Drosophila melanogaster: one gene and its partner. Changing the gene in region 1 together with any one later gene gives a genetic interaction. Each region holds a gene or a part of one and is shown in the gene's direction. Other genes may lie near its edges.

Region 1 (6,026 bases):
CAGGCTCCTCGTTGTTGCCCTGCTTGCCTCAATATAATTGTATCTTCCGTTTCATTACATGTTGCCCAGAAGTGCGGCTGGTACCCTGTAAAGCCCAACTTGGGCATACTCGATTTTGATGTATTCTAAAATATTTAATAGTTAATATTCCAATTGTTTGTATTGTAACAAACTACTTGTTCACTTACGAATAATACTGACAAATCAGGAACAACAACTTTTTCTTTTATTTAAGCCCATAACAAATTGTATGTTTATTTGAACAATATTAAAAAAAGTCTTAACAATTTTTGACACATAGTAAAATATATCTGAAACTCAGAAATACTTGGAGTGCAATAGTATTGAGTCATATCAGTTGGTTAAACATTAAATCTCATATTATCCCAAGAAATCCCCTACATAATGATATTCATCTTAACAATGGGTAGCTTAAGAGTCGAGATGCACTTCCGTGAGCTTGTTCCGTTTTGGGAGTCATCATTATCTTTTCACAGCAGCAGCAAGTCGTAAAATTTGTGGCTCAGACCCACGTTGCGTATGCGTAATAAAAAAGACGCCGCGTAATAAAAAGGGAGCGAAAACAACAACAGCAACAGCAATTGTGATTAATATGCGGCACACAAGCATACACAAACGCACGCACACACGAAACGGGCGCAGGCCATGCGAGAGAGAGAGAGCGAAGGAGAGAGCTGCTGTCTCTTTTGTGGTGGTGTTTGGTCAACGCCCCTTTAAATACAGTTATTTCATTGGGCCGCGACCACAAATTTATTAGTTTTTATTGTTATTGTATTGATATTTGAATTATGCACGCTCCCTCTTCGTCTTCTAACGTTACTTTTTATCATTGGGATCCTCTGGAGAAAAATGCCATTAAACAGAAATTTTAATTTAATTAAAGTGATGAGCCATACTTCTTTCTCTCTGTCTGCTTACTTTCATCGAAACAAATTGATGGTCTGAGTGGGCAAGGGGATAATGAGAATTTAAGCAGATATTCGTGCTTTTAATGACGGTACTTGAAATGTGTAAAATGTCGAGTAATTTATGGGCATTAAAAATCGGTCGGATATATGTAACAATACCTATATTTTGTGTGTACTTAAGGTTTATATGAGAAATTTAAATGTTTAAAATTGAAAATAAAAACTAAATTTGTAGTTAGAAACTATCTCTAAGTTAGCAGACTTAAAAAAAATTAATACAATTTTTCTAAAATATTTGCTAAGCTCTTTATTTTGAATTGCAAAGGATACGTGAATACGTTATTTATTTTATACACATTTTGAGGGGTTGATAGGGTTAAAATAAACATAAATTATGGAATATATAGATTAACCAACTAAATAATAAAATATTTCAAATACTTCACTAATCAAATATTTCAAATACTTCACTAAAAATGCTAATAATGTAAATTATTTACACATATTCTTAAATACAAACTTTGCATTAAATTTAAGCCAACATTTTTGGCTTAAAGTTTAGATATAACCAACAATAACAACAAATATAAGCATTTTGAGCACTAGCTGAAACGACAACAACAACAGCAACAACAAAACGCATGCTCACCCAATTGCTTTGACACACAAACCCACACATAGAAATTAAAACAAAACGCCCGCGGCAGCAGCGCCAGCAATAACAACACTGCAACAGCAACGTGGAGAGAGAGCACCATACCGCAAGAGCGAAAGAGAGAGAGAGAGTGAGCTAGCTACGGAGAGTGGCTGCTGCTGCCGGGAGTGACACTTCCGCGCCACACGTGCAAGCGAGACGAAGCGAGTTGCCCCGAAGGCACACCGTTGCGGCCAAAAACAACCACCATGATGGTGCCGAGAGCGAGAGAGAGCGAGAGCTGGCTCAGCGCTCAGTGGCGATAGACGAGTGCGAGAATGTGACAGCACGAGCAGCAGCAGCGCTGCCGCTGCCCTCTGCCCGCGCCTCTGCCCGCAGCCAAGTGGATTCGTTTTGTACGTTGTTAGACTCTCTCGCCGCGTTTTGGAATTCAGTCGACAATCGACGATAATTACCGGTGGTTGTATCACATCACATCACGCGCAGCAGCAGCAGCACTACGAACGAAAGAAGAAGAAGCAGAAGAGCCAGCCGCAGTGGCAGCAGAGAAACTCGCTCGTTTTCGGATCTATATATATATATATGCATATAGATTTGTATATATAGAGGGATATATATATATATATATTTGCACGCAGCATTGGCGAATTTTCGGCCGCCTTTAATTTGTTTGTGTTTTTTCCGTGTTCTCCTCCGCGTGCTCGCAATTACGTGCGCGGCAGCAAAAGACTATAATTATAAAACTAAAGTGAAAAGCGTGCCATAATTACACGAGCGAATATCAATAAGTGCAAGAGCAATGTGCGAAAATTGTTAACGAACGCAGTAGCAACCAGAAGCAGTAAAACGCAGCAGCAATCGCAGCAGTAGGATCCAAACAAATCTCAGCGCAACATTAAAATCGCAAGCGTTTTCAACATGATCGATGCGGCCTGCAATTACTTAAATCCCTATGCGCAACAGCATCAGGCGCAGCAGCAGCAACATGCGCAACATCAGCAACACGCGCAACAACAGCAACATCATCTGCACATGCAGCAGGCGCAACATCATCTGCACTTGTCGCATCAGCAGGCGCAACAGCAGCATATGCAACACTTGACACAGCAACAGCAGCAGCAGCAACAACAACAGCAGCAACAGCAGCAGCAACAGCAGCAACAACAACAGCCGCAACAGCAGCAACATGACTTCCTCAGCGCCGCCGCCCTGCTGTCCGCCCCACCATCCCTATCCGGCTCGAGTTCCGGCTCCAGCTCCGGCAGTTCTCCGCTATATGGAAAGCCGCCAATGAAGCTGGAACTGCCGTATCCACAGGCCTCATCCACGGGCACCGCATCGCCCAACTCCAGCATACAATCGGCGCCATCATCGGCCTCCGTGTCGCCCAGCATCTTCCCATCACCTGCCCAGTCATTCGCCTCCATTTCGGCTAGTCCATCCACGCCCACCACGACCTTGGCGCCACCAACAACGGCGGCAGCGGGCGCCCTAGCGGGATCACCCACATCCTCCTCACCATCCTCGTCAGCAGCATCGGCTGCAGCGGCGGCAGCAGCAGCTGCGGCGGCAGCAGCGGACCTTGGAGCAGCGGCGGTCGCCAGTGCCGCCTACGGCTGGAATACCGCCTACTCCGGATTGGGGCCAGCGAGGTAAATATCCCTATATATAGGATTTACAGAAGTTGAGTTGGGAATCATTCGTAAGAAAGAAACTTTAAAATGCTAGTGATCAATAAATCAAAGCTTATAGATCATCAAATTTGTGGTTATTAGGGATACACTAATTTCGATCTGAATTAGATCTCCTTTTAATAGAATAACTACAGGCTGATTGTATTTCGATCATGAGCGAGATAAAGACATATATCTTTTGCAAATTATACAGTTTAATACATAGGAATATATTAATCAAATTATCCCGAAGATTGAAATGGATTAGCATACAAATAATCTCATAAACTTATAAAATGATAGGTACCACTTGAATACATTACAATTTAGTATTCCGATAGCAGGTGTACCCATTAAGTAAATGATTAAAAAAAACCAAATTAACCATTCTCTGTCTTCATTTCTTTTCTCCATCTAGAAGTCAGTTTCCATATGCCCAGTACGCCTCCGATTATTACGGCAATGCGGTGGGCATGTCCTCCTCGGCCGCTTGGTTCTCGCATCAGGAGCGCCTCTATCAGCCATGGAGTTCACAGAGCTATCCGGGCTTCAATTTCGACGACATCGCCTTCCAGACGCAATTGCAACGCCGCTCCGTTCGCTGCACGTGTCCCAATTGCACCAACGAGATGAGCGGCCTGCCACCGATTGTGGGTCCGGATGAGCGCGGACGCAAGCAGCATATCTGCCACATTCCGGGCTGCGAACGGCTATACGGTAAGGCGTCGCATCTGAAGACCCACCTGCGCTGGCACACCGGCGAGCGGCCCTTCCTGTGCCTCACGTGCGGCAAGCGTTTCTCCCGATCGGATGAGCTGCAGCGGCACGGACGTACGCACACCAATTACCGCCCGTATGCCTGCCCCATTTGCTCCAAGAAGTTTTCGCGCAGCGATCACCTCAGCAAGCACAAGAAGACCCATTTCAAGGACAAGAAGAGCAAGAAGGTATTGGCCGCCGAGGCCAAGGAGCAGGCGGCTGCGGCGATAAAGCTGGAAAAGAAGGAGAAGAAGTCGGGTAAGCCACTGACGCCACCCGTGGAATTCAAGCAGGAGCAGCCGGATACGACACCGCTGGTCAACTATGCGCCCTATGCCAATCTCTATCAGCATTCCACATCCGCCGGATCGAGTGTGAATCCTCCGCCGCCACCGCCGCCGCTCTTCCAGCAGCAGATGACGACGACAACATCATCGGCGGCGGCCAGCTTTGTGGAGCAGCCGTGGAGCAGTAGCAGCAGCCGTGCCATACAACCAGCCACTACCTCAGCCAGTTCATCCTCATCCTCCAGCGCCAGTTCCCCAGCGGCAGCGGTCGTTTCTGCCATTGGATCTGCATCTTCCCCAGCCGCATCAGCCACGGCGCTGGCCCAGCATCATTATGCCGCACTTGCCATGCAAAGTGAGTCCCAGCTGGCGGCGGAATATGGGCTAACCATGAGCGGATTGGCCAGCGGAGCTAGCCAGGATTCCAGCTCCAGTTGCCACATGAAGTCCGAGTATGCGGCCAGTTATCCGGCTGATTTTGGTGCGGGAACAGCCAGTTACGGTTATCCGCATCCACATCCGCACCATCACAATGCGTGGGCAGCGGCCTATCATCCACATGCCACCGCCTAGGATGTCCCCGATCCTTCCCAAAATTGTTACAGTTGAAAGTTGATGAAACAAATGCCATAATGTCCCAAAACCCAGAACGGCAACAAAGCAAGCGTAGAACGAAAATCTAGTGTGTGTTTTTTTTTCAGTGTTTATTGTTGATATAAAAATATAATGTGAAAATCAAAAAAAAATTTGAATTCACAAAATACCGTATAAGGCATTATATAATATTATATAAATATATATATATATATATACATACACATATATTAACTATACATGTAGAGACTAGAACTTGAATTTTTTTCATTTTTTTTCCCCCAATCTAGTAGCTAAGGCATTTTTTTTTGCATGTCTGTACATACAAACATATATAGCGTTCTTTTTAAGCCATACCATATAGAATGAGAGAAACCATCTAGTTGTGTACCATAATAATTGTTAATTGTCTTTAAGATAAATTATATACAACAACAAAAAGTGAAAAATCCAAGGCGACAAAATCCCCACACTGAAATGAAATCCTAACAATAAAAAAAAAAAACGAACAAAATAATATCGGAAAACAAAGCGAATCCAGTTTTTTATTATTCTCTCCGATCCCGACGCACCCTTGTTAATGGGTTCCTGGCTTGGTTAGATTTCAGGGTTGTTTGATCTCCGCCAGGGGTTGCTTTCTTGCATATAAATCGAGGGATCCAGGAAGCTTCCCGACTTCCGGCGAACTTGATCTGCTTTTGGGTGCTGACCTTTGGCGGTATTTGGATAATAATAGAAACTTTTTCAATAGCAATCATTATAGCTGTCTGCATTTCTAGTTATAATTTCATCAACGTCGGCCATCGCTTTAAAATTGCAAAAACATTGTTAGCTTGGGAGATGTACATCATTTATAGATTGCTTTACTTTAAAATGTGCATAAATAAAGGTACGAATGTGATATGTATATATCCTTAAATACAATGATTTATTTAGTCAAGATACACATAGTTGTAGAATTTCATAACAATCGGATGTGATTTAATAGTAGTTTTTCTCACTAAAAGCGGCTTACCACTTTTAGATCTCTTCAAGATTCCAGATCCCCGGTCCTTTTCCTAGCTGCGAAATTAATTTAATCCCATTTCCCGCAGCTCAGCATCTATACCCCACACCCACCCCCCTTACT
Region 2 (4,809 bases), on another chromosome or scaffold:
GTGCATTTGCAGTGCTACCTTAAATTAGTGCAGCGCAGCCGACCAGGTCATAACTCGGAACGGCGGGCTCCACAGCCGATCCGATCCGATCCAATCCGGACGAGGGGATTAGCATTTCAGTCGGATCAGGCGCTCAATTACCGCTGGATGCTCGATTTATATTTACTTTTATAAACAAACTTAATTCGATTTTTGTGGCACTCTGGTTCTGGTTAATAGCGCCGCTCCGACTCATGCATATGCATATTTTCCCACTTTCAGCGGAAATCCTTCTCAGGTGACAACTGCCTGCTGTTGGGAGAGGGGAAAGGGGTGGAATGGAGACCGCTTTGCCGCCGCTTCAACTGCCAGTTAGGCTAGGCGGACAAAGGTGGAAATTCCGCTGTTCTCTCCGCTCGGTGACTTTGTCTTGTGAATGAAAAAGTCCGCTCGAGCAAACGGTCCGTGTCGCTTGGCCCTAGCCACAAAGCGACATTATGTGGCCGAAAGGACGCCATTTTGAATTGGGCCTACTCGAGCTCTCTGCCCTCTCTCGAAACGCTCAAGGGGGCGTGGCGAGGGAGTTTCTGCTCTCAGCAGGGGGCGTGCTGGGTGCGCAGGTAGTATGTGTGTGTACGAGTGCGGCTGCGAGGGTGTGTGTGTGTGTGTTTGACAGGTGAGCAGGTTGGCCCGATAGACTGGTTTGTCGCTGCCAAAGGCGGCCACTAGGTGGCGCCACAAGTACCAACTCCAAGGAGGCTTTAAGACTCCCTAGAAAGGATTTTCAAATTAAAGGTTCCATTAGAAAATGATAGCAGACCTGTCATATATACCACGCTATGTTGTTTGTGTGCGTAGCGTTTTTTCCTTACAAGCAAGCCCACCGATTGTAAAACGTAAACAAATCATTAAGTTAATTCGTCTGTTGTCCGCAACTGTTGATTACCCGTGGAAATGCGTGTGCCACAGTTTCGATTGATCCGAAAATAAGACCCGAAAGGAGCAGCGGCTAAATAAGAAGACAAATTATAGGTTCAACAATCAATTTAATAATTGAGACCTTTGCATTTAATCAACATTATTTAAAACGTCAAAATATTTGCACTTTCCACGGGCAGTTCCCCCTGGAATTTGCATATACACGCCGTAAGTTCCCCAAATCCGTGGGGACGCGGGGCGACAGGCCACGCCTCAATCTCGATGCGGGCCCTAGACCTAGACAAAGTTGACGAGTTGAGCGGCACAAAAACGGGGTCCCAGAGCCCAGCCCCACCCCCGTGCACCCGGAACGGGGAAATTTATAGTATTGGTGCGGTTTCTGCACCACCATACAGAGACACCACCGAGAAAACCGGTTGCAAACCACCCGATTGGCGACGCTCGGCGAGAGTCACTGCCAGCGGCTTGGGCCTCAGCAGCCGTCCCGCTCCGACGCACGGCGATGGATGACATCTGCGCCGCTCGCACACCACTGCTACAGAGCGGCAAAGCGGCACGGCCGCAAAGCGACAGCGCAGCGAGTCGAAGTCTCGCGCAACCGCGCCGCGAAAACCTCACCTAGTCGTATACGCACTTTGTTCGTGTGCAGTCGTCGCCGCTGTTCTCGCCGTTGAATTGCCGTCGTCGATCCGTCGTAGCGTTTTGCGCCTTGCGTTTCTGCGTCGAGCTAAGTGATCCGTCGCGGACTATAAAGTGATTTGTAGTGATCTGATCTGATCTGATTTGATATGAATTGATTTGATTGATTCGCAAAACGGAGTTGAAAATCGTGAAAATCTACAAAGAATATGCACAGCCAGAAATCGAAGTGATACAAGAAAGCAATTTCGAGTGAGTTGAGTTGCTAACAAGTTGAGTGTCAGTGCTGAGAAAAGTGCCTCCTCGCCATCTGAAAGGATTTACGCGCTCAACAGTTCCGCCAAATCAAGTCGCCGAACTGAACTGAAGCCAAGACATTGTGTCCTACAAAAACCTTAGATACGCAAGCCACACACTCCTACTGTGCAAGTATAGCTGATCATTGCCATCGGATCTCTGAGAACTTCCTTCCCGCGCGCATCCCCCTGAACAGCCGTCAAAATTCTTGATAAAGTGGCCTCAATAGGCGCCAACACGCTCAATTTCACGGACCTAGGGAGCCCCTACGAGGGGCCTCCCAGCACCCCCCAGTCGGGCATGGACGCCCCCGACGCCCCGCACACGCCCAAGTACATGGACGGCGGGAACACGGCGGCCAGCGTCACGCCCGGCATTAACATCCCGGGAAAGTCCGCCTTCGTGGAGCTGCAGCAGCACGCCGCCGCCGGGTGAGTGTCCCCAAGATCAGTGGAGTGGAGTCACCGGGAGGATTGCAGAAAGTGTTTCGGCGAAAAGACTCGATCCCCTCCAGACTTCAGCCCTGCCAAAACCAAACCTATCGGAACTCAATCTCAATCTGTGCGGAGCAGTTGACACACCCGAGAAAAAAGGAGTTTGTGGCCAGGGCGTTCCCAAAACTCGAATATGAATCTTTTTAATGAATCTAAAGAGCGCTATACGTACCATAAAACCATTTGGTCTTTAAAATCATTTCATTCATTTCAAGGGAAAAAGTTAGTTGGCATAGGACTACAAGCTGCATAATTGCATAAATAGATAATATAGTACATTGACATTACAATAAACAAATTCAATTTTTAATAATAAATAACAGTTGGTAAAAGCAAGCAGTTAAATAAAGTCAGGTTAACTCAAGAGTATATTGTCTAAGTAGTTCATATAACTTTTTAGGGTCTTAATTACTGATTACATTACAATAGCCAATAGTCTTATTTCGATCGATACATAAATTTTACTATTAAAAAACTTGTATAATTATTAGTTGTCTTAAAAAATGAAAGCAACCAATTGTAGATTTATGAATTCGTCAATGTAATCCAAAGTTAAAAATTATTTTGACTTCCATAAAAATGTACTTCTAAAGTAACAAATGTAGTATAAATTCGAAATCACAATTTTAAATTTCAATTTGCCAATTCGCCATTTAGCCTTCTCTAGGCCCTCAGCCAAATCGACTAAGACTGAATCGATGAAAGTTGCCGTCAGCTTTCCATCTTTATGATACTATTTTCGGGATCGATTTCGCGTTGGGGTCTCGCTATACTATTAGTTTTGATTAAGAAAATCACTTCAGCTGCACTTTCCGGCTTACAGTTCATGCTGGTGCCTGGCTGGCCGGCAGCGGAAGCCAAAAATAAATTCAATTAAGTGTAGTTTACTCCCGGTCCGTGTTCTAAATAAGCGTCTGATCCGGAGGGTTCTGTTCCTATCCAACAACACGTTCCTCATGGGGTAGCAATAAGTCGGGCTCGGTGGTCTGTTTACTGTTACCGCTCACTCGGCGAACTGTTTGCAGCCGCAAATTGTTTTCCCAACGCACGATTCGATTTTTCATTATACATATTTTATTGCATTCTTGGTTTTGAGCCTTGCGGTTTCCACTGCTCTGTCATTTGTGCGTGTTGGGCTCTTGGGCTGGGACGGGACTTGGAATGCTTGGCTGCGCCGACCAGCCCTCGGGAGTTGTTCCTGGCCACGACTTTTCTCCGTCCCCGGAGTGGCTGCCATGTTGTTCGCTGTTCGCTGTCCGCTGTCCGTTGTCCGTTCTCCGTTGTCCGTTGGCCGCTGTCCGTTGCGGTTTCTGCTGCTTTCGGCCCGCTTCCGTTTCCGTGTTTGAGGGGCCAGGAGAGCATTGAATATTTCATGCAGTTCGCTCGGAACATAATGCATGGGAACTTGCTCAACTGTTTCGCCCGCAAAGTGTTAACAAAATATTTACCGCGAGCGAGCGGGACTGCAAACGGAACTGCGGACCAAACCGAAACTAAAACACAGCGACTCTGACACTCGTATTGATTTTTCTTTGATATATTAAGCCGCATCCAGTTCGGGCTTTGGATAGGTTTTGGTTTTGTTTTTGGTTTCGGTTCTGGTTTTTGTAAATGAAGTCATGGCAAAAATTTCCTTCCTCTCCGCCAGCCTAATTTTTTGTTGTGAGAGAAAAAGTTTTGGTTTCGACGCTTCTTGCATTAAACATGAAACATTTTGGGCCCACTTTTAGATATTTTCCCGACCGAACGCTCGTCCTATGCTCGGCGACGTTTGAATTTAATAGTGAATAGTGAAAAGTGTAGACAAAACACGCAAGTAGGAAAAGTTTTGTCCCCGGCACGATTCATTCACATTCACAGCCGGTGTACGCCACTTCCATTACTTCCACTACTTCTTCCACAACTGCCACAGCTATATTACAGCCCCGTATTGATTATTTTCCGTGCATTTGCGGCATTCCAGGTACGGCGGCATCCGGAGCACCTATCAGCATTTCGGACCGCAGGGCGGCCAGGATTCCGGCTTCCCCAGTCCGCGCAGCGCCCTCGGCTACCCGTTCCCGCCAATGCACCAGAACTCCTACTCCGGCTACCATCTGGGCAGCTACGCCCCGCCCTGCGCCAGTCCACCGAAGGATGGTAAGTACTGCTCCTCCTTATCCGATCAGTCTCAGGCCCAATCCCAGTCCCAATCCCATACCTACTCTCCCAGAGATCCGGGTCTTTTGTTGAGAAAGAGATCTTGAAAAGATCTCGCTCGTTGCTTCCCTGTCTATTTTTTGGCGACACTTCAACTCGAGAGCTCAACGCCGTCGAGAGCCATTGTGGTCGCCTTCTGCGGGCTTTGTTTGCTCGTTCACTTCAAGTTCGACTCGTCTCAATTAGGCTGCCTTCACTGTCCTCTTGCTACTGCGCTGCTTTTCACTTTTATCAAATTTCAATTTCAATCGGCTATAGATCG

What was found.
Region 2: of btd (region 1) and Dll, changing one suppresses a phenotype caused by changing the other (phenotypic suppression), as found in Drosophila melanogaster (one study listed by BioGRID).

The regions. Positions count from the first base shown.
Region 1 is NC_004354.4:9,692,172-9,698,197, forward strand, and holds btd (buttonhead), read left to right. Parts: upstream 1-2,014; 5' UTR 2,015-2,502; coding exon 2,503-3,236; intron 3,237-3,675; coding exon 3,676-4,876; 3' UTR 4,877-5,387; downstream 5,388-6,026. UniProt on the Drosophila melanogaster protein: Required for the development of the antennal, intercalary and mandibular segments of the head.
Region 2 is NT_033778.4:24,813,283-24,818,091, forward strand, and holds the start of Dll (Distal-less), read left to right. Parts: upstream 1-1,539; 5' UTR 1,540-2,154; coding exon 2,155-2,285; intron 2,286-4,311; coding exon 4,312-4,487; intron 4,488-4,809. UniProt on the Drosophila melanogaster protein: Transcription factor that plays a role in larval and adult appendage development. Specifies the identity of ventral appendages (including legs and antennae) and suppresses dorsal appendage development. Involved in patterning the distal-proximal limb axis.